Caenorhabditis elegans: one gene and its partners. The protein of the gene in region 1 interacts with the protein of each later gene in a pairwise test. Each region holds a gene or a part of one and is shown in the gene's direction. Other genes may lie near its edges.

Region 1 (5,640 bases):
TGAGAAAAAGTATGAAAAAACAATGAAAATTCCACAGCCACAAGATTTTGATATTACAGTACTCTTTAAAGGCGCACTCTTTCGCATTTAGTTAGCAAAAATTTGTCGTGTCAAGACCGGGTACCGTATTTTCGGATAAAAATTGGAAATTTTTGCGTCCGTGTAATATTTTTTTTCATGTTTTTTGCATCGACTGGAAACAATTTTTATTTTATTTGTTTCATTTTAATTTGATTTATTGAAACTGTTTTCAGGCATTTCGAGCAAAAAATCTGTTTTAAAATTAATTTCAAAAATTAAAAAAAAACGTTTTTCATCGAAATAAAGTTTTAAAACATAATTTCAATAGGGTTTTAAATGCAAAATGGTTTTTTTTTTACTTTGAGAAAAGTTTTCTAATAATTTTAAAGTTTTTTTCCAAATATCTCAACTTTTCGATTCTTTTCCAAAAAAAAAAGCTCACCATAATCCTCTGGCACCGGCTCAGCCTTTGTCAAAAAGTTCCATTCCCGTCCATTCGGCGATTCTTTCTTTATCACATTTTCCACGTCTTTTTGTGTAGTTTGCTCGACTTCTTGCCTTTCTTTTAACTTTATTTTCTCTTTCTCTTTTCGAAATTCTTGAAGGTTTCGGAGCACATCACTCATTTTTATGGATCTTCTAAAGAGGAGGGGAGCTATTTAAAATTTGAAACTAAAAATTGGGAAGTCGTTTGAAATAATATTAATGGATTTACGAACCATCAAAAAACAAACTGAAAAGTTCAAAAATAAAAATTAAAACTTATTTATAAAATTTTTCGACTATTTAGATTTTTCGTTTAATTTTCAAAATCACAGAAATGAGATCAAATATGGTTTTTTTTTGGAGATCAGTGATGAGATGGATTGGAAACCGTGAGTTGATGTTTTTGACGATCAATTTTCTTGAGATTGACGTGGTTAAAATGTTGGCGTAGCTGAAAATATTCACAAATTTTGAAAAAAAAAAATAATTTTTAGAATTTAAACTTACAATTTCTAATGAATTTTCCGGTAGAGTTCCGTTCACGAGTCCAATGAGTTTTTCTAATTTCTGGTGCTCCACAATTTTTGGGAATAAAAGATGCGGAATTAACATATCCAGTTCTAATATTCTTAGTTCTTGAAGGCCATCCAAAAGTTTTGTGAAATTTTGTACAGTATTACAAGATCCATTATTATGAAAATGTAGATTCCGGAGAGTTGTAGAACATCGGGAAATTAATAGATCAATGGAAGATGGAGTCAGCTTGCAGTCATTTAGATAAAGTGTTCGAACTGTTGACGGAATGAATGCAAGAATTTGATCGATTGGACAGATCTCTTCTTTCTGAGGGCAGCTTCTGAAAAATTGTTTTTTTAAATTAAAAAGTGGAGTAGAGACAGTGGTTTTTTTCCATAAATTACAGTAACCAGTCTCAGTATACCGAATATAAGATGCTTAAAAATGTATAAAATTATTCTAAATTTTGTATTATTTTTTTTTTTCAATTTTGCAAACGACTCTACTCTTTTTTTTTCGAAAATTGAACATACGATATGAGAAGCTCTTTGACAGAGTACATTATCGGCAGAACCGTTTCGAGTTGAATAAAGCCGTCTTCGTGAAGATTCGTCATATGAATAACTTCTGCTTTTTTGAATATCGACGGGCAAGCATCAGCTAGATCCTTGACAGTATTATCCTCTTCGTCTCGAAATTGAATATTCAAAGTTGGAATCATTTTTCTTGTCGGTGAAAGATTATATGGTCCATTTGTGATGAATACTTGTAAAACTCGTGATCTATCCGACATGAATTGAGTCAAAGCAATAATAAGATTTCGCGGCATTTGTGGATCAGGAAAAACCAGCTGACACGTTTCCAGTTGAACTTCATGCAATGCCATCTCGACCATAATTTCTTCAATGAACCACGAGTTTTTAGATAGGCTCGGATTGACGTGGCAGCAGAAATGTTTCAAATTTGGATTTATTAGTCGTTTCATTCGTTCAATTTCCGTACACCATTGTCGATCGAGATGAAGTTCCAATGATTCGATTCGATCCAAAACGGCGGCGTCGCCTGATTCCTCATCCAATTCAAACGAAAAGTTTCGTGCATTTCTCACAATGATTCTGTTTAATTTGGGAAACTTTTCTATATTGTCCAGAATTTGTACAGTAAATCGACGGCATCTAATTTCAAACTCCACTATCCGATTGAGAAGTCGCTTGCTGACTCCGTTGAAGAAAACATCTTAAATTTAATAATAAATTCCTGAAAATTATCGTTTTTGCAGTAATTACCTGGATTTTGAATAGTATCCTTGTAATTATAGCCTACTATTTCGCTACGTTCATCTTCAGGAACATCTGAACAGTTTCGAACTGAAAGACGGGACGAGAAATTACGAGGTCGCATGAGAAGAGTGAGAATTGATGGCCACTGAAATAAAACATAATTATAATACAGGTTTAAAATAATTATAAGCAATCTCACATTAGGATCTTCTTCCAATCGAATCGCAAAATTTCCAGAAATCGGAGTTTTCAAGCACAATTCTCTCAATCTTCGACTCGAAAGCTCCAGTGAATTTCGATCTTTGAACCTCTCAACAAATTCGATAATCTTCATCATTAGCATGTCATTCCAGTATAGTAACGTCTTCGTTTCCTCACCATTTGGCATCAAAAACTGCAAAAATATATGTGATATGAGCGGAACAAGAACACAAATCTATGCGCAACAGCTTGAACAAACATTCGGTTGACCGAATCGAATCGATAAAGGTGCGGGGAGACTAGCGGAGCGTGGTGGTGGTCACTAATGGATTCTCGTGAAAAGATTTATAATTGATATTCAATAAATAAATCAACAATTAGCTTAATTTTAACTATTTTCAAATGAAACGGAACGCCGTCCAGATGCGTGTCAGCAAGTGCGCGCGTGCGTAAATCGATAAATTTGCTTTGACATTTTCGAGTTGCACACTCACAGCGCGCGGCTCTTTTCTTCCATTTTCTCATGCTTTTTTCTTGTTTTTCTCAATCCCTGCTTCAGCCGTTATTCATGTTTTATGTCTTGTTGTGTCTAGAATAAAACATTTATTAATAATTTTTTGTTTCAGTTATAAATGGCTGAGAAAAATCACCAACAACAAGAACGACTACCTGGCAACCCGTTTTTCCCATCAAGAAGCAACGCTGGCTCTTCATTTGACATGCCCGTAAGCTTTCTAATAATAATAATGGGAAAAAGGAATAAAAATATTTAATAATATGCAGGAAACACCACATCTCATCGATTCGCTCACTTCTCAAATCGACGAATTCACAATTCAAAGCATAATTGATACTCAGAGACAGAGGTAATATACTGGAGAATTTAGAATTTATTGATTTTTCTTTTTTTTTCAGCTTGAAACGCTTCGAAAAGACAAATGAAATGCTCATGAATTGCGCTCAACTCGGCGATCGAAGAATTGAAAAAGCAAAAAGGGATTCTGTGGGACACAAAGAGACAATTCTGCAGATGAAAACTGATTTGGAATTTATTTTCAAAAAAATTCGCATGTTCAAAACAGTTTTGTCGTCAAAGTATCCAGAAGTTTATGCTGAAGGTGCAGATATTTTAATTTGAATACTTTTAAAAAGTTCATCAAATTTCAGTGTCAGCCGAGCTAACGCCAAAACGAAGCGAGGAAGACGAATGAAATACAATTTATTCGTAATTGAAAAACAAGAAGAAAAAAAATAACAGATCATTTGGAACAAATACAAGTCACAGAAATTCAATAAAGATCTCAAATTTTTGATTAAAGTGAAGTCGAAATAAGTTATAAAATTTTTTGTTTTTAATTTAATTAGTAACTTCACTATGGGGACTTTTTGACACAAGAGAAACAATAGAAATTTGAATAGAGAAAATATTAATGTGGAGGTGGTTACTGTCGGAATAAAAATTTAGAGTTAAAATATCAATATTACACGATTATGATCTACGGTGACGTTTCGAGTCACGACAGTCATCATCAGAATCGGAAGAAGCTGATCTATCATCTGAGGAAGAATGACGGCGTTTTCTTTTTTCCTTTTTACTTTCCTTGCTCTTCTTCCTTTTTCTATCCTCTTCCTCATCAGAATCACTACTATCATCAGAATCATCTCGTCGCCTTCTCTTCTCTTTCCGTTCCTTCTTTCTCTCCTTTTTCTCGAGTTTCTTCGCCTTCTTCTTTTCTTTTTTCGCCTTCTTTTTCAGCTTTTTCTCCTTTTTCCGCTGCTTTTCCAAAGCAATGAGCGGAGTCTCGTCGTCACTTGATTCAGATGATGTCGAACTGACCTCGTACGCTTTTGTCGATACATTTGGACGTACTTCAATGTGATTTCGACACTGGAAGTATAGATGACCCGGATATCCACATCTTTTGCATGCTCCCGTGACTGCGGGGGCAGATATTGCGGCACCTGATATATCTGAAATTAAACAAATTATGTGATTTTAATTTCCTATGAACTACCGTACCTACAAAGGCGTTCGGGTCGTATCTTGATGGGAACGCTGACTGTGCTAGGGAAGCAAGTGAAGGTTTTTTACCTGAAAGTAGATTTTGAGTTTTTTTTTTGAAAAATTTATAAATACTTTTTTTCCAAAAAACCAAGTTTCTTTTTTGGAGTCGTTTTCAAAAAAGTTTTTTTTCGCTTTTTTCGTCCCCTAAATTGTTTTTTGTTCGGAAACATTTTTTTTGCGAATAAATCCATAGTAATTTAATTTTTGAAAATTTAAGATTACTTACCTGACTCATCATCTTTTGATAATGGGCTATCTGTGTCAGTTGTGGTAGTTACAGTTGTACTGGTAGATCCGAATTTTCGCACAAACGGCATCGGAGTCAGGTTAGCGTTCGCCATCTGTAATTGTAGTGAATATTAGGGAGTACTAAAAATAAGCAAAAAATAACGTGAAGAGGTGGTAAAAGACGCTGGTTTTATGCGCGTTTTAGAGGGGAAGAACTGTTCTCAAGGGAAGATGGGTTTTATAGAAAAATTATCGATTTTTCGGCGCTTTTTAATCAGAGAACATAGAAGAATTGGAAAACATGCTGAAAAGATTTAAAAATAAGATTTTTTTCAACAAAAAAAAAGAGAACTATCAAGAAAAGTGAAAAGCAGCAATGGAAGAAGTGAGAAAGAAATATGAAAAGTTTCGAAATTAATACGATTTTTTCCACTAGAGCACATTAGCACGGTGTTGTTTGAAATTTTGAATAAAATATTTTTAATTAGAAAAAAGGTATTATCTGATGCAAATTTATGCAAACTTCTCGAAAATGTTCGAAAAGCACTCCTGGTTTATAACCCTGCAAGTTTTCAAATTTCTGGATTATTAAATCGTCAATAATATCTCATATTTTGTGTATTTTCGTCGAGTTTTTTCGAGGATAATCTATTAATTTACTACTCAAAACCACAGAAAACGAGAATTCGTAGATTTACAACAGTAAATAATGCGAATTTTATTTGGAATACTATAAAAATATTGAACAAATTAGCGATTTCAAAATTAACTGACAAAAGAATTCGCGAAAATCGTTTCACAAAGAACTATATATTTTTTTGAAAAACAAAAATTCACTGTTTT
Region 2 (5,320 bases), on another chromosome or scaffold:
GGACCAAGTTGGTTTGGAACTCATTGAGATCAACATTGAGAGCTCCATCGAAACGGAGGGAAGCGGTGATGGAAGACACAACCTGCGAGATGATGCGGTTCAGGTTGGTGTAACTTGGACGGTCAACGCTGAGGTTTCTGCGGCAGATATCATAGATAGCCTCGTTGTCGACCATGAACGCACAGTCGGAGTGCTCGAGGGTGGTGTGAGTCGTCAGTATAGAGTTGTATGGCTCAACGACGGCAGTCGAGACTTGTGGGGCTGGGTAGATGGAGAATTCCAGCTTCGACTTCTTTCCATAGTCAACCGAGAGGCGCTCCATAAGCAATGAGGTGAATCCAGATCCAGTTCCTCCTCCGAATGAATGAAAGACGAAGAATCCTTGAAGACCACTGCAGTTGTCAGCGAGGCGACGGATTCTGTCGAGAACAGTGTCGATCAGTTCCTTTCCGACGGTGTAGTGACCACGAGCGTAGTTGTTGGCGGCATCTTCCTTTCCGGTGATCATCTGTTCTGGATGGAACAGCTTCTTGTAGGTTCCAGTGCGGATCTCATCTGAAAAAAAAAACAAATTTGAATTTGAAACGGTTTTTATTATTGCTTACCAACAACAGTTGGCTCAAGATCTACAAAAATCGATCTTGGAACATATCTTCCGTTTCCAGTATCGGAGAAGAAGGTGGTGAAAGATTCTCCATCGGCTTGTTGGTCTGATGGCATAGTTCCATCGGGCTGGATTCCATGCTCGAGACAGTAGAGCTCCCAGCAAGCATTACCGATTTGGACTCCGGCTTGTCCGACGTGGATGGAGATGACCTCACGCATGTTGAAAACGAACCTGAAAATTAACGGAAATTAGAAGAAATGAAATCATAAATGAACGCGGATAACATATGGCGTAAAGTACGAATGATAAAATCATAGGAGTCGATCAACTAGGAAACAAGGTCAACTCAATTATAAATAATCCTGTTGACAATTCCGGCTGAATAGTTTTCAGGGCAATAAACCAGATATAAACTTGGTACAAGGTTTACAACAAGTAAATAAAAACAAAACCAGGAACTTACATTAGTTAACGAGATGGAGAAGGTTTGGGATATAAAATTTATGAGCCTCCAAATGAAACAAACCCAATTGCATACATATGAAATGCTAGCTCTCAAGAGTATTGCGAAATAGCGAAAAAGACTCGGACCGTTGAAAACAGAGAGCAATTACGCCCATTGCATCGTGGTACATACACAGCAGTCAAACCCTATTGGGTTCTATGCATCTAGTCAAATGAGAAATGAAAGTCGGGCTGGGAAAGAAAACAGAGCTCTTCGTCATTAGATATTCTGGTGCGAGGAAAGGGTAAAACAACTCAAATTGGAAGACTAAAGACGACAATCTTTTCTGCCTTGCTCTAGACATCTGTCACTTGGATGAAACTGGTCAGAGAGGCAGTGCCGGGTCAGAGAGAGGAACGAGCGACGCTTGTCCGATTGGCCAAGGACAGCGGCGACCCTATTCCTCGGTGGACATGACTAGTAGTGGCCATCTGGTGTATATTGCGAAATAGGTTCTCCACTAAACCTTAATCCGATGTTCATGATATAGACGCTTGGATGTCCTATTCATGAAAATGCAAATATTCATCGGGACGATTCAGATTTCAATGCAAAAAATAATAAAACGAAGTTTAAGTTTCAGTAAATAAGCTATGATAAAATAAATAAAAATTAAAAACATCACAAGCAATAGCACGTAACTAAAGTAGAAGCCGAAATGCAAATCTATAATGATTTTATTAGCCGCTGGAGAAACGAATTCCCTAAAACTAAAGATTCTATTGAACACACAAGTTGCAATATAATCAAGAAAATTTGTTAACAAACAATAAAATGTGGCTCAATATTTACAGCATGTGTAGACAACGAGTCAACTTTCAAACAACTCCATTTTAGGAGCAAATCGAAGAGAGAGAATACGAGCGATTGAGAAGCGAAAAATGAGAAAGAATGACAGCCATCTCCCAATCCTATTGTCGTCTGTTTCGCGCCAAAAAAAGTGAAAATTTCTCCCGAGCGCGCCTAGTGGACGAAACGAATTCAAATCCTCTTCGCATTACGGTGTTTCGTATTGAGGAGCGTCTTGTGCGTTGCAACAGACGCGCGTAGTGTATGCCGAGTGTACGCCGAGTGTACGCCCGCCACTGAGGCTCCGTAAATCGTGCCAAGCGTTTTTGGCTCTTTTCGGCTATTGTTCGCATTTTCAAGGGTCCAATCAGAATATAAGTGTTCTTCAAAAAATTTCTGATTTTTCAAGAGGTTTATCTTTTAATTTAACCCTATTTCAATAAGGCCACCTTCCTTTTTTGATTTTTAGACTCCCGATCGATAATTTTCTTCATTCGAAATCGAATTTATATTTAGTCGTTTTTGATACTTGAGAAATACAATTGTATTTTTCAGATGGCTCAACTTGCTAAGACGGCTGTTGCCGCCCTTTCGAAGAAGCTCGTCGCTCCAGCTGCCGTGGCCCGTCGTACTTTGGCCACTGAAGCCTCGCCAGAAGACTACGGATACTACCCAGATCCACTTGAGCACGCTACCGGACGTGAAAAGAAGATGCTTCTCGCTCGTCTTGCTGGAGATGATGTGAGTTTTTGTTAATAAAATTTAACAATTTTCCCAATAATTTCCAAAGTATACCCCATGATGTATCAATTTAGCTAATTGTGAGCTACTTCGCTCTCGAGATTTTGTCTTGAAGTGTGAGTCGTATTGAACGAACTTTGTCGAAGCTGATCTGAGGGAGATTTGCAATTTGAGTCGTTATCGTATCTAATACTGGTTTTTAATGAGAAAGTGTTTACAAAATGAAACCCATTTAGTAAAAGTGGCAAATTATCTACTATTTCTTCATCTTTTCAAAGTTAAATAATAAAAGTTTCATTCTTCAGCGTTACGAGCCAAAAGTCTACTATCGCGCTGAGGCTTCCACCAAGCAGAAGCCAAATTTGGTCCCATCTCACTACGACTTCAGAATCATTGGATGCATGTGTAAGTTATATTTAAAAGCATGATTGATTCAATTAAACAACTATTTTTCAGGTGAGCAAGATTCCGGACATGTCAATTTCATGACAATTCGCAAAGGAGATCCAAAGAGATGCGAGTGCGGACACTGGTTCAAGGGAGTCGACGCCGACCCAGAATCCATCTAAACAATTTTCAATGTAGATTATTGTTCCGACTTATTTTAGATCGCTCCATCAGTGAAAATAAAACGCGCTGGTTTGAAGACAAACCATTCTGTTTCTAGAGTTGGTTCAATTCGTTTCTTTGTTTTTCGTCAAGATGTCTCCTATTTCTGTAAATTAATTTTTTATCAATTTAACCTACATTTCTTACATGAAAAAATGTTCTTCGTAGGTTTTCCCTGACAATCTCCTGGATTAGGTGGTTAATGTTAAAAATGAACAAAACAGGTGGAAACAACAATCAATGATGCTGTTTCTCCCGTCAACCTCCACAGAATCTAGCTGATAAAAATCTGAGTTCAGATGCCTCGCTCCTCTCATTTTGTTATTGGTTTTCAAAATCACGTGCTGTCACTAGCACATACAATTTTGTTTTTAAATTGGCAATTGTTTGCCTTCATTTCAACAATTTTAAGCTTTCGTGTTGTCGTAGATCGAATTTATACATTTAGAGCCCAGGCTTGAGCATTACATCAAAAAGTAATAACTCACTTCTTCAAAACATTTCCAATTTTCGAACCATTAGTGACTTCCTTTTTCATTTTATCATTTAAAAACATGACGCTAGTTACGTAAAACAAGTTTCCGTACTATTTTGACGAGAACCTTACATTTGTAACATCCTATTTTGAAGTTTCAAAGACTAGAATTTTGTTATTTTTTCGGGTCTCGTGTTCCACTATCGCTTTACCCAATCAGACTGTTTCTCTGCGTATTTTCTTTTTTTTTAAATTCTGATTTTCAATGATAACAGAGTTTCGTGGTCAATGGGAAAACTCGTGTTTGCCCAATTTTCTTGTTCAAATTCAACTTTTAATAGAACTTACATAAATAACAAATCTAGGTAATATTTAGATTGTTTCTTATTAAAAAAAACATAAATTAATTAATTTTAATTAAAAACAAAAGTTAGGAGATTTTTTGCCAGTGTTCTATGACGCCTGCGCTTCATAAACTCTAAACGAGCTTTCTCGCGACAAACCATGGCGCAGCTTGCTGCCAAATTAAAATTACCCCTCCCTCCATTGCCATCTCAAAAATTCAGAAAAAAAACGGCGTTACAAGTTCAAAACCAGTAGGAACTCAGTATTTGTGTGTCTCGAGGGTTGATTCTCTTCTCATTGACAGCCTTCTCGCATGTGCGTGTGTCTGTGTGCGCATCTTTTCGTCTCTTTCTCGTCAAAATCAATATTCTCCGTGAGACGAAATAGTGTAACAGGATGAAGAGGGTGGGTAGAGATGTTAGAAAGCTCCTGCTGAACTCGCTTTGGCACTGGAACTCTTTTTCATCGTGAAGAAATTCCTTTGAACTATTTTTTCCTACTAGGGTTTTTTTCAGTTAGTGTTATTCAAACTCATATCCATTTTATATGATTTTTATTTAATCGTAACAGAATTTACAATGAATCAGCTTTCCCCCCACGTGACGTCAATTTGCCATCTTGTTATTCGTCGTCTGACTATTCTGACAACGATAGAGTATCGAAAATCCCCACGAGAAAAATTACTAGACGCTGAGAAAAAAGGAAACCTTTCTCTCATTTTTTTGTTTCGCTCAACTACTCTCTAACATTTTCTTCGTTTTCCGAAACGGAAATCTTGGATAATCGGTTGTTATGGCCCGTTTCGGTGATCCAAACAATTTTACTTTTTCATACATTTTCCATAAAAGCCTCCAAGCTTCAAAAATTGATTTTTTTCCAATTTTATCAAATTTCTCTTGCCTTAATGATTAAATAATTAATTAAGTAATATAAGTTGAGGAATGTGTTTTAACAAAAAAAAAATGGATCGTAAATACTGTCAAATTTTTTGAAAATACAATTTTTCTAAATATTTCTAATAATCTTTTTTAATTTAGCAAAAATTAAAATGTTGAATTAATTTCGAATTCCCGCAAAAATGAATCACCTAGTTTCGAAAATTAAAAATTCCATGTTATTGTTTTTATCTCAATTTCTTTCAGGTTATCAAGTTTCCCTCACGGAAAATTGATGAAAATTTGGCAAAAAATGTTTCAAATTAAATATTAAAAATATAGATTAATGCGAGGGAATTTCGGAAAAAATCATT
Region 3 (6,266 bases), on another chromosome or scaffold:
ATCAAATAGCACCGTTTCTCGCTTCTCCGCCTCCCCAGGCACTATTATGAGCTGTTGTGTGTGTGCAAGCTCACATCATACAAGAAATCTCGAATTCCCACTAATAATAGACAATGAGACTGATGTTTTGATTGAGTTGAGATCGTTTGATTAGTCAGAATAGACGGAAATTGGATGGACCAACAGAAAAAGAGAGGAACGCGAATCGAAAAATATAACTGTGGAAATCGGCAAAAAAAAAGAATGATAACAAAAGGGAAAAGCGCGTGGCATATTCTTCCAACAAAATATGTGTTTTTTTGGCGACCGACTGTGCAACTCTCTCATCATTTATATTCTACACAAAAATAATTCGGAATATCCAAAAACATGCATAAAGTCGCGGAAATGTTACGAATGTCAATCCGAAAACAGAATTGTGAGTTTACATGAATATATACTCAAATCTACTTGAATAATGCTGAAATGTGTATTCCAATACACTTTTTTAATCTCACAAAATTCAGTAAATAATCTCACACTGGAGAGTCAAAGAGTTCTACAGCTAAATTTCTCATTTACGAATCAAATTAGAGTTTTAAAGCGTTCCTTCGTATTAATATCAGTGTAAAAAAATAATTAAGACAAAAAATATTTCAAAAAACCAGAAAAAGCGAAAAAATGAAAAAAAAAAAAGAATGACAAAAACAAAGCGAAACTTTTTTCTCAGACTACGGTAGATCTTGTTGTGTGCAGCGTGTTTGCACAGATTGTCGACCGTACCCGGAACTTTTTTATTTGAAATATTTTCAAAAAAATATATTTTCTCTTTCCAAATTATTCACATTTTTCGATATTTTAATCGTTTCTTCATGGTTTTGCTGTTTGGAAAAAGACGTTCATCACAGGGTAAGATTTATAATTGTTTAATTCTCAGCAATTAATTTCCATGAGCAGCGAACGACTAATTGTCAAAATTGAGCGTGTTTTATATTGATTCTGTCTCTGTGCTATTCCATCTTTCCTGCCTAAAATGTATGGCTTTTCTCGTTACATTTCTCCAATACTTTCCAAAGAGACGCAGACATAAACGAATGTTTGCCCTATTGCGAAAGAAGTAAATGAATCACCCTTCCTTTTCCCTTTTTTCCACTATTTTTTATTTTTTATTTTTTGAAGCAACATCGGCGACCATGTCAAAAGCAACAACTCCAGGAGATCAACCAAAGGTTTCGGAAATGGACTTTTATCAGCTGCTTGGAGTAGAGAAAATGGTAATTAATTTTTTCGGATGACATCTGAAGGCATGCAAGAAAGCAATATTTCGTCTCCAGGAAATTTCCAGGAAACGTTTAAGATATATTTAGTATTTTAAATGAAATTAATCTCCCTATCATCGAAATTAATAGAAATTAATTCATTTTCCAGGCGTCCGAGGCAGAAATCAAATCAGCGTATCGAAAATTGGCTCTTAAATACCATCCAGATCGTAATCCAAATGATGCTCATGCTCAGGAAGAGTTCAAGAAAGTTTCAATCGCATATTCAGTTTTATCTGATCCAAATAAGCGAAGACAGTACGATGTTAGTGGTCCATCAGAAAATCAATTGGACTTTGAAGGATTTGATGTCTCCGAAATGGGAGGAGTTGGTGAGAAATTTTCAAGAATAACATTTAAAAACGTTGATTTCTCCAAGAACAACTGAAAAAGTTAACCCAGAAAATTCCAGGGACTTTTTTTTTCTAATTATATAAATAATTGCAGGTCGTGTCTTTGGAGCACTCTTCAGCAAGCTTGGAGTACCTATTCCCACACAAATTGTCCCAAAAGTTCTTGCACAGGCACGTCACATTTGTATGGGACAAGAATGTGATGTTCAGGCACGACAACTCCCTCCCGGGGAGACTGTAACTTCTTCTGTGAGCAAGCAGGTGAGAAATTTGTTGTACCATGAAATGTGAAAATTTAATATTCGAAAAATTCGGATGGATTTTAAGTTTAATTTTTTTAAAATTTAATTTTATAAATACTACTAAAACTAATATTAAAATTAATTTCAGCACGCCCACTTCTACGAAATTAACATACAGGAAGAACATCGAAAGAATGGAGTTGCTATCATTTGTAAAAGTTCATCTAGTAAATTCAAGTTAGTGTTATTCGATAAAGAAGGAGGTGTCCGAATGATCCAAGAAAGTGGGAAACGAGGAAAAGCCGGAACTCAAGCCGACATGTTCTTTGTACCGTACAATGTGGCCAATATTCAAGAATTCAATGCAATGAAATATCATTTGGAGGATAAGGAAACTCCATTGGCTTTTCATTATTTGGATAGTTTTGAGATGCAAACTGCGACACTTTTGGAGACACGGAAGCATTATATTGCAGTTTATGGTGATAATTGGATAAGCGATGTCAAATATTCAATAACCTTCCTTCCTGTGGAACCTTCTGCTGTCGAGCAACTGAATGAGATTCAGGATACGGAGAAATCGATTTCTATTATTAAAAAAGAAATGCTGGATTTCCAAAGAGAATTCACAGAAGCTAAGAGAAAATATGATGAAGCTGTGGCGAAGTTGAAGGTAAGATTACTTACTTCGGAAGCTGAAAGAATATTTGTTTTAATCAAAAATTTAATTTTCAGGTACAAGACGACACAATTCTGAAAGCGCTGGCACATCGTGAAGAGCTCTACAATGAAGTTCTCCAGAAGTCTCAAGAACCGTATAACAAGAAAGTTTCCCCATCTAAATCATCGGGTGGTCTCCTTGGATGGTTCAAATGATCCCTATCAAGATTTTTTTAAAACTATTTCACAAGAAGAATGGGTCTTTTAAATTTTTTAAATTTCACTTTCCAGAGTTAGTTTCGATATTTATTGATTGTTGATAACATTTAATTTCTCCTCTATTTTCTAATGTCGATCCATCAGATCTCTTTTTTTCTTTTTTATGGTGTAATTTAGCAAAACTTTAAGTGTTCTGTACTCAATTTCTAGATAAATTACTAGTTTTGCTCTTGATTGAAAAATATAAATAAAATATTTATGGCTAGAGTTTGATTTTAAATTTATTTTTTCTTATTAACGCTGTAAGCAGATTCGCAGCACAAATTTATTTGGCGAGCAGTATAACTTTGAGATGATTTTTTTTAGCATTTATGAAATTTTGTACTCTTTAATTGCAAATTTTCCATACTTTCATACGAAATTTCATGAGTTTCTCAATATTCCTCAATACTTCAATAGTGCTTGTTTACGAATTGATTACAATTTTGAGACAGTAATTTTTAGATTGATATGATACTTTCATTCTTATCATGTCGTTTCCGGCAAACAATCGAGTTCCAACTCAGCTCCCTCTTGACGTCATTTCCCATTGATATTTCGCAATAGACATTTTGCCAACAACAAAATGTCTCATTTCTCTCTCCGTCACACGTTTTCTCGTTGCAGGCGTGGCCGCGTTGCGGTCGCGACGCGTTTGTCGACGTTGCTTTAGCATATACCCTCACTTTCCTCATCACAACAATCGCAGAAGCAGAAGAAGTCTTTTTCTTCATAAATTCCTGGGCTTTAGCCCCATATTCGCTACACTGAAGAACTATACAATGAGCAACTATCCAAAACGTATTTATGTGCTCCCAGCACGCCACGTGGCAGCGCCACAGCCTCAGAGAATGGCTCCCAAGCGTGCACTTCCAACAGAACAAGTTGTCGCACAACTTCTTGGCGATGATATGGGACCATCTGGGCCACGCAAAAGAGAACGACTGAATCATTTGAGTCAGGAGGAGAAAATGGATCGTCGGAAACTTAAAAATCGAGTCGCAGCCCAAAATGCTAGAGACAAAAAGAAGGTTAGTGCTGAATGTTTATCGAACCCTGAAAATAAGTTTAATTCTTGTAGGAAAGATCAGCAAAGATCGAGGATGTGATGCGCGATCTGGTGGAGGAGAACCGCCGGCTCCGCGCTGAAAACGAACGTCTTCGCCGTCAAAATAAAAATCTTATGAACCAGCAGAACGAGTCCGTCATGTATATGGAAGAGAACAACGAAAACTTGATGAACAGCAATGATGCATGCATCTACCAGAACGTCGTCTACGAAGAAGAAGTCGTCGGTGAGGTTGCACCAGTTGTCGTCGTCGGAGGAGAGGATCGCCGTGCCTTTGAATCAGCAGCATTCATTAATGAGCCTCAGCAGTGGGAACAGGCCCGATCCACCTCCATCAACAACAACATCAGCAACCAACTCCGTCGTATGGATTCCAAGAAGAACAACACAATCAGTGTGGATATGTATCTAACTATCATCTCGATTCTATGCAACCACATGGATCGCAACAAGAAGATGGACACCTCGAACAAATCCTCGAACATCTCAAGGTAAGATAATTAGAAACTTCCTAATGTTTATGTATTAACTTCATAAATTTCCAGAGCCCAAGCGGAGAGTTCGATCGATTCGTTGCTGGCTACATTGAGGAAGGAGCAGACGGTTATGCAGCGTCTTGTTCAAGCGGATCCATGTACACATCTTCAGAAACGCGTGAAACACTTTCGCCGAATTCCCTAGCCATGTCCCCGTCGATGAGCAGCTCGAGCACTGACTGGGATGATGAGCTTTTGGGATGTGGAACCGAAACTGGAACTGGAACCGACGAGCTGCTTACCGACCCCGGAAACTGGAACTTTGAAACTTTCGACGAAAATTCAATCGACCTAAATTTCTTCCAAAATTAATTTATATCTGGTGTATCGTTATTGTAGTGTCCTAGTGAATTTCCCTCGTTATTATTTTCTCCCCAAAAATCTCTCCAAATTTCTCCATTTCCTCTCTGGTATTTTCTTCTTTTCCTCTTTTCCTTTTGTACAACCCCAACTTTCGTATTATTATTTACCCTTATTAAATTTCCCTCCCCCAAAGCTCATTGATTCCAATTCCCCCATTTGTATATTTAATAAAAACAGCCATACATTTTTGAGATTTGATCATTTTGTGCAGGAACTCCTTCGTTATTTGCCTGGACTACATTAAAAAGACTCGCAGCCTCTTCACATCAAGCAGTACATTTGTTTATATTATTCAAGGGAATATGGTGTGAAAATGTCTAAACAAACAATCCATCTTTCGTTCCCACCCGTACCGCCTTCTCTTCTTTTTCATAGCACAAATATACAGAGACATGCACTGATTCACACCACGTGGCCCCTACTTTCGTTTTTAGAAAATCGTATTTCTCGAAATTCAGACGATCTTTAAATTGTAGTTTTTTTTTTGTTGAATAATACTTTAGTACGATACAAAATATGTCTAAACACAAAATTCGATATAAAAGTTGTCAGATTGAAAAAGTGCTGAACTCATTGAGCTTAAGACGCTCAATCCTGGTTTAATAGCCTCTGCTCTCACTCACTTTTTCTACGACTAACCAATTAAAAAATCGATTGAATCGGTCATTCTCCGCCGCCACATGGTGCCCATCTGTCTTTTTATTTTCCATTTTTCCCCCTCACTTTCTCCTCGTTTATTTTCGCAACGCTCCAGCTCCCTATTCTCCTCCCGGTTTTTCATTTTCTCGTTTTCCATTTTTCAATTTTCTCACAATAAGGACTCACTATTTCCACTTTTTTGTTTCTCTTCAAGTGCGAGTACTAATCCCTTTCACAGGAAAAGTGGAGTTTTTGTGCTTCTTTTAAACAAAAAAGTAGATTCGAATCGATTCTTAGAGAGAAATCGGCATCGAAATGCTTCATTTTCGCAATATTTATTAAATTTATTGGATTACCTACCGCTGCGAGACCCACCTGGAAATTGTATGCATGCACCTTTGATCACTGTAATTATTTGTTTGTCTTTTCTGATTTTTCTTCCTTCTTCATCATTTTTAAGCGTGTTTTCTAGTTTTTCCTCGCTATTATGCCTAAAAAACATTGAAAAGAAATATTCGTAATTTGCACCTATTCATTCCTGATATGACAAAATATTTATCCGATCACTTCACATCAAAATTAGTTCCCGTGTCACAACAAAGAAAAGACCTTGAACACTGAGGAGAAAGAGAGAGGAAGTGAGGAAAATGAGGCAAGATGACACAAAAAAAAGACGGAAAACTATCGAAAAATAGGGTCGTTTTGAGACTGAACAACCAGTTTTGGCCCCGTTTCAAGTGTTGGTAGCTACCTCTGAAGGCAGAACTTTTTTGAAAGACTGTAGATACTGTAGATTGAAATTTGATTAAGTTTCCAATGTCTTTTACGTTATTTCAGTCCTTTCAAAA
Region 4 (6,649 bases), on another chromosome or scaffold:
TCTTATGCAGTGATGTTTATATGGAGATGCCAGTGCCATGTTGTACGGTACCTGACACGATTAAAAATATGTCAACAAAAACAAGTGTACGCCTTTAAAGAGTACAGTAGTTTCAGCAGTTTGCTGATTTCTTAGTTTTTTATCGTTTCCTGTTTTTTAAGCTTCAATTTTTAATAAACAGTGAGTGTGAAAACTAAGAAAAATTGAACAACGGTACTCCTTAAAACCGCACTCCTCTCCTTTCACTGAAAATTATTGGCCGTTTCGAGACCGGGTACCGTAATTTTTAAACAGCGAAATTTAGCATTTAGGTATTTGCTCTATTATTCAACTTTGAAAATTCTGTTGTTTTCTCAAAACAAAATTTTTTTTTTGTAGTTTTTATAACATATTAAATATTTTCTGATATCTGCAGTCATATAAGTTATTTGGTGCAAGAGTAACTGAGAAAATACGGATGCGTTCTAGAAAAAAAGGATAAGTAAGAAAGTCGTAGATAGTTACTATTTGATAGTATCTCAAGAAAGAATGGGAAACTAAGCAAGACCTTGAACTAATCGTCATTTGAAGAGAACTTTAGCATAGTACGTTTTCAAACGAAAACCACAATTTCTCAATACTGCCTTCCCATCACAAACGAAAATTTTATCCTATAGGATTAAAACCAATTTTCAGTAGAACTACAACAAGATTCTGAAAAGTGCACTCAATGCTTTCACGAATGGGCTACAGCACAAGATGATAACTGTATGAAATAATCATGTAATGCACGATATCAGGCCATTTCAATTGGTCTTTTGCGGCGATTTATCACTGGTGATAATTGGAAGTTGGACAGATAAAAGTATAAGATTGAAAAGATTGAACCAACAGAGATTAATAAAATAACAAAAGTCGGAGATGATAGGCAACTCAGCAGCAAATTTAATTTAATTTTCAAAAAAAAAATTCATGTAGTATAATTTTCATTAAAAAAAATGGTTAGCAAGGAAAATGAAATGATTATGTTTCTTCGTCTTCAATAACTTCCAGCTTAATTTGACTTGTCAACTTTTTCAAATGTTTATCCGTAGCCTCGACTTGTCCATGCCATGCGTGCAGTTTGTTGGCCCATTCATCACTGATTCGAGGTTTCACTTCAACTACGCTGGCCGATTTTCTGTTCTTCTTGTTCGCAGGCGATGTGAATGATTCGTCACTGAATAATTTAATAATTTTTAATTGAAGAAAAAAACAAAAATCTTCACTTACATTTGGGAAGCAGTTATCGGAGCAGAAGTTTGTGGGATTTGTTCTCGTTTCACTTCAACCAATTTCGCATTTGCACGTTTTGGTGCCCGAATTCTTGCAACTCCCGATGTTCCCTGCTTGCCTACTTTACCGCCCAATGAATCTTCAGGTATTTCAGGCTTTATTCTGGCAGCATACTCATTTCGTAGAACTTCTTCAGCCAATGCATTATCGTCTAATAACTCTTCAGGATTAACTGTTGTCGTTTTTCTGCGTCGCCGTTGTCTTACAGGGCGATCAATCGGGCTGTAAAAATAGGTTATTATTTTGGGGTTAAACTGTAATTGCTTACATTGGAACCTGAGCATCATTATCATCCAAACATTCCTGGGCGATGTCACCAAACGTTCTTGCGGTAAGATGTTTGAAGTTTTCTGCAAAAGTTGAACGCTGACTTTTGAAAAAAAAAAACATATTTTCGTGTAATAAATGTACCTTCCATGTTTGGATCAAGATGCCTTCTTTGTCTAGTGTGTTTTAGTCCTTCAGCATATGCTTTACTTCTCAAAGTTGATCTGCTTGAACCAGCTGTTTCCTCTGGAGCGCTACTAATTTCTGGATTTGTTGGAGAACTTTCGAACTGTTCTTTATATTTTTCGACAATGCCCTTGATTTCGTGTAATGGTGATTTGAGCCCCGTTAGAGTATCACTTAGTCCAAGTTTTTGCTTAGCCTCTGTGTAAACTCCGTGAATAAATGATAATTCCGTCATAATATCAGAACTGAGCATTTTCGTAACACTGGAAAACGGCTCCTGAAACTGTTTATGAAAAAATTCCAATAATTTAACTTACTTACAACTGGAATTTTGTTAAAATAGGGCAACTCTTCCTCGGCAAGGTATTTTTTGTGGGTTGCCGGATCATATGTCGACTGAAACACTTTAATTCTAAACGCTTTCTTCAGAATAAGCATTTTGAGAGCCGCAATTGGTTCAAGAAGTTTTTCGACTTCTAAAGATTTTTGAAATTCGAGAAGCTCTTCGAATTGTACCGCAGTGACCGGAATCTGAATTAAATTTTTTAAAACTAAATTAAACTTAGAATTAATCACCTGACAGACATGATCAACTGGCTGCAAATTGTACAACGCATAGCAAACATAAACTCCGAATAGCCTCTCCTGAAAATATAACATTTCAGACTTATTTTTACTTCTATTTCAAACCTTGAATGCCCTGAATGCTCCAACTTCATTCACTTTTCCGAAATACATTGCTGCGTGTTGTAACAGGTATTCAGTAAACTGAAAGCCGGAATATTATAATAGACTAAATAAAATCAAAATAAAGCTACCTCTAAGCATTCGGCAGGATTTAATCGATAATGAAGAATGGTCTCAAAATGCATATCCCGAAAAACATCAGCAAAGTCTCGAATTCTTAATTAATCAAGATTTTCCATCAAATAATACATTTTCTAACTATACCTGTTGGATCCCATAGATATAAACTTGTTGCACAATAAATGAAGATCTTGTTTAACTCCAGTTCCCATAAATGGCGTGGGAATACCTCCAGAAGCCATTGCGACTCGTTTTTTCCTTGAATCTTCAGAAATAAATCCGAAAATAATTGACGAAAATAAAAACATGCAAGTGCGCTCTATCGTGAACAACCAATTCTCGGCGGGAACCAGCGGTATTCAACGCATTTCAAAATGAGTTGCGCCTCAATTTACCTAAAAATATTGTTTTTCAATCGTTTTGATATAATTTAGCTCAAAATATTCCCATAAAATTAGTTTAAATATATTCGCAATCAATTTTACGCTTTATTAAAACATCAAAAGCTATAGATCTGCGTGAAACGTTCTTATAAATCGTGTTGCCGTGAAAAATATTCTACTGATCGTTTTCTATCGAAACATTTTCATGTTTTCAGAAGAATCGAACTTCAATCAGTATGCCTGACGACGAGGAGAAGCTCCAATTACTTGCTGTAACGTTTTATCATTTCATCTATTACCAACTAAACCTAATATTTCAGGACGTTGAGAGGCTCAAGAAAATTCTCCGTCAAAAAGATGAAATGCTCGAGGAGATGGAAGACGATCTCAAAAATCAGGGAAAACCTTGTTCTTCCAAACTTTCACTCGAAGAACGTGCACAAGAATTGAGTGAACAACTTCGCGATCTTCATGTTGAGATGGACGGAAAAAACGCCACAATTCTTGATCGGGACGCTCTCATCGATTCACTGCGTAGTGAGATCGACAAACTCGAAAAAATTGTAGGTTTTCATCATTGTGGGCAACATTAATATATTGAATTCTCAGAATAAGGAGTTTGCCAACGGATCAGTGATTCCCGAACATGATGATTCCAATTCCTTCGGAGAATCTGAAATGCTTCGTATTAGCGAAGATTGTCAGAAATACAAAGAGACGGCGACTGCTCTTTACGAACGAAACGCCGAACTCGAAAAAGAAGCGGTCAACTTGAAAGATGAAATTGAGTCGATGATGGATCATATTCGGGACCTCAAAAATCATATGGAGACGCGTGATGAGGAAATTGCCAGATTGGAAGGAGAGCTTTTTGATGAGAGAAACTCCCATGAAGGAAAATTAGCGGCACGCGGAAATTCAATGTTTTCTGAGGTAGGTTAAAAAATATCAATTAACTGCATTTTTTTTAATATTCTTCAGGTTATTGATGCCGAGCGGAAGGTTGAAGAAGACCTGAAAGTTCTTCATGGAGAGAATCGAGCACTGAAAGGGATGGTAAAACGTCTTCGAATGGAAGTAGAAGAAGTCGAAGAAAGACTTCGGTCATCCACAAAAAGATTCAACGTTACCCGAATGACCACAAGTGATATTGATGTCAAAGAGATGCGTCGTCTCAGAGACAGAGTTTGTCACCTGGAAACGGAAAGGGTTCATTTGTGGGAAAGAATGTTCATTAAAATGAGGTCAATTCCAAAACGCGAAGTGGGAGCGTTGATTACCGGCTACTTCAAGTCGTTCGAATTGTCAATTGCGAGCGTGAAAGGAGGTTTTGACGGTTTGATGAAGGACAACGAAAAGTACGTGACAATTATTCGTGGATTGCAACAGGAAGTAGAAAATCTCAAAGCGGACATTGTGCAACTACAATTCGACAATAAATGTGCTCACAGAAAAGCTGCACCAGTTGTCAATAAGGATTTCGAGCACCCGCTTCTTGCTGCTCCTCTGAAAACTCTTAACAATGGACGACCATCATTCTTCATTAAACCGAAAAACGTGGAACCCATGCCTCAATTAGGGCATTCATTATCCAGTATTGCCGTTACGCCACAGGTAGATAAAAGTGCAACTTTTCACTATAAATAATTATTTTTCCAGAAACCAGCAGCTAAATTCACCACTCGTTCCTCCATCAAAGATGATACTTCAGAATGGGCAGAACGTCGTATGAAAGCTCAAGCTGAAAAGAAATTGGCGACTCCGACGCCGCGTTACAACTATATCAAACTGTCCGAGCCCGTTCCAAAATTCAAACCGGCTGTTCTTCAAATGCCATCAACCTCAGAAACAAAGGAAAACTGAGTAAACATCATGTTCGTAGTCATCTCGTATTCATATAAAACCGCCTGTATTGATCTCGTCCCCTCTATTCACCAAGTTTTGTCGATTATTCTACAATGTTTCCTATTTAATGCATGTCAAATAAAATTATTTTTATTATAACGCTCATTCTTAGATTGTTGATGTTCAAGAACTTGATAGAGCCGCTGGCGGGAGTGCAGTGGAGCGCGAAACCCTATCGATATTACACGATCACTTATTGATTTATATATTTTTAATATTTATTATTGTAAATATGGGGTAGAATATAGAAAAATATTTTCCAGATTTTCTCTTCCCTACAATCTTCGGAGATCTCGTATGGATATGCTTTCGATATAGGTTCAGTTCTTACTACTAGTAACATTTGAGAGAGCTTAAAATTTAAAAATTGTAAACCGTTCGAATTTGTTCTGGTGTGGGGTTCGCATGATATTGATCGTTTTTAATATTTACGATGATTTTTTGTGTTGTGCGAGGGTGTTTTAAAATTTGAATTTGCCGCCGAATGAAGTAGAACAAGAACGCAAATGCGCTCTGTGGCGAATGGTGTTCGACAAAAAGTTTTTAAGATCATTTTCTCAGCAAAATTTCGTTTCCTTTCTAATTTTTCCATTTCAGACATCACATTTCGTCCGGAAAGCAGATGCCGAAGAAGAACAATACAAAACGAGCACCACCAAGGTATTTTTATAACATTTTGATAAAAATAATTATCTAATATTTCGTTTAGTGTACCAAAGCCGTCCGGTCCGCCACCTCGATTACTTCAACTGACATCCTCAGATGGACATTTGTTGCAGGGAGACATCCGGGCCCTCCTCCTCTCAAGTACACTTGCTGCAACCATCAGAGAGCTAGGATATGACAAGGAATACTGTGCTGAATTAAAACCGGTACCTGTGAACAATGTTGTTGGATTTACATTAAAATTACTGATTGAATGGTGCGATAAACACAAAGAAGATGATCCTGCAATTGCACTGGCCGAGAAGGACAAGAAAAATATTTGCATTCCTTCCTGGGATAGACATTTTCTCAGTAGACTGCCAATGTCAAATTTGTTCGATCTGATTACTGCTGCATATCATTTGGACGTTACCGGACTTATCAATTACGGCTGCAAAACAGTTGCCAATTCTGCGAAAGGAAAAAATGCCGAGGAAATGCGAGAACTTTTCGGAATACCTGAACCATGGGAACAACCATCTACATCGACTGCTACATGGGATGATTAATTTTCTGTTACTATCTTCGATCTTCAAATATTTCAATTGCACAAAACCGGTATTATGGAAACAATCATTTCAGCCATGTCAAATTGCAATCGAGTTATTCTTTGAATACTATTTTTGTTTGTTATTTATTATATCTTTAAAATTGCATAGGATCGCTCAATGAAAATTACTTTATAAAAAATCACATTTGTATGTAGTTGAAATCATGGAAAAACAAGAAAATGAGTACTAGATGTTGCCATCAATAGAGGTTTTCCTAGGCGTCGGAAGTTTTCATCGCAATCATATGGATCTGAAAATTTTTTCCGGAAGTCATAATTTCTTGATGGATGCTTGAGTGACCGCCTCCAGTATTATATATATACCAGCCGTGGACCGCACCTCCGGCGCGGCCCCCGACTTCTGGAGCTGAAAACCAATTTTTCTGAAACTACCGTAATCATACAGTACTCCTACCGTACCACCATTGTACCACTACAGTACCCCGACTATATCCCTACACTACCCCCAACTCACTATCCCTCCAGAAGCTAAAACTTCGCAGACTACAAAGACTACATAGACTACAAACTA

What was found.
Region 2: the proteins of kxd-1 (region 1) and cox-5B interact in a two-hybrid assay, tested with the Caenorhabditis elegans proteins (one large-scale study listed by BioGRID).
Region 3: the proteins of kxd-1 (region 1) and xbp-1 interact in a two-hybrid assay, tested with the Caenorhabditis elegans proteins (one large-scale study listed by BioGRID).
Region 4: the proteins of kxd-1 (region 1) and spdl-1 interact in a two-hybrid assay, tested with the Caenorhabditis elegans proteins (one large-scale study listed by BioGRID).

What each region holds. Positions count from the first base shown.
Region 1 is NC_003283.11:7,218,343-7,223,982, forward strand, and holds kxd-1 (KxDL domain-containing protein), read left to right. Parts: upstream 1-3,126; 5' UTR 3,127-3,136; coding exon 3,137-3,229; intron 3,230-3,287; coding exon 3,288-3,370; intron 3,371-3,419; coding exon 3,420-3,622; intron 3,623-3,671; coding exon 3,672-3,715; 3' UTR 3,716-3,814; downstream 3,815-5,640. Other genes in the region: C13F10.5 (SAYSvFN domain-containing protein), read right to left, coding at 464-647; C13F10.6 (FTH domain-containing protein), read right to left, coding at 872-958, 1,015-1,363, 1,557-2,259, 2,310-2,448, 2,503-2,637; C13F10.7 (CCHC-type domain-containing protein), read right to left, coding at 3,994-4,475, 4,525-4,596, 4,796-4,910.
Region 2 is NC_003279.8:9,786,553-9,791,872, forward strand, and holds cox-5B (COX5B-domain-containing protein), read left to right. Parts: upstream 1-2,456; coding exon 2,457-2,642; intron 2,643-2,668; exon of another isoform or gene 2,669-2,938; intron 2,939-2,947; coding exon 2,948-3,047; intron 3,048-3,098; coding exon 3,099-3,211; 3' UTR 3,212-3,299; downstream 3,300-5,320. Other genes in the region: tba-1 (Tubulin alpha chain), read right to left, coding at 1-555, 606-838, 1,071-1,072.
Region 3 is NC_003281.10:4,190,390-4,196,655, forward strand, and holds xbp-1 (X-box-binding protein 1), read left to right. Parts: upstream 1-3,419; 5' UTR 3,420-3,593; coding exon 3,594-3,842; intron 3,843-3,892; coding exon 3,893-4,371; intron 4,372-4,425; coding exon 4,426-4,561; 3' UTR 4,562-4,969; downstream 4,970-6,266. Other genes in the region: dnj-16 (J domain-containing protein), read left to right, coding at 852-888, 1,159-1,253, 1,408-1,630, 1,746-1,912, 2,042-2,566, 2,629-2,769. UniProt on the Caenorhabditis elegans protein: Required for transcriptional regulation of the unfolded protein response (UPR) in the endoplasmic reticulum (ER) under stressed conditions, acting downstream of ire-1, and also maintaining ER homeostasis via a negative feedback loop, in parallel with ER kinase pek-1.
Region 4 is NC_003280.10:7,778,394-7,785,042, forward strand, and holds spdl-1 (Spindly-like protein spdl-1), read left to right. Parts: upstream 1-3,172; 5' UTR 3,173-3,193; coding exon 3,194-3,229; intron 3,230-3,277; coding exon 3,278-3,520; intron 3,521-3,566; coding exon 3,567-3,890; intron 3,891-3,938; coding exon 3,939-4,571; intron 4,572-4,616; coding exon 4,617-4,820; 3' UTR 4,821-4,958; downstream 4,959-6,649. Other genes in the region: snpc-1.1 (snRNA-activating protein complex subunit 1), read right to left, coding at 1,003-1,198, 1,252-1,536, 1,583-1,664, 1,726-2,044, 2,089-2,298, 2,344-2,412, 2,458-2,535, 2,586-2,670 and 1 more; skr-17 (Skp1-related protein), read left to right, coding at 5,485-5,522, 5,572-6,076. UniProt on the Caenorhabditis elegans protein: Transient kinetochore component required for chromosome and spindle pole alignment and chromosome segregation during mitosis.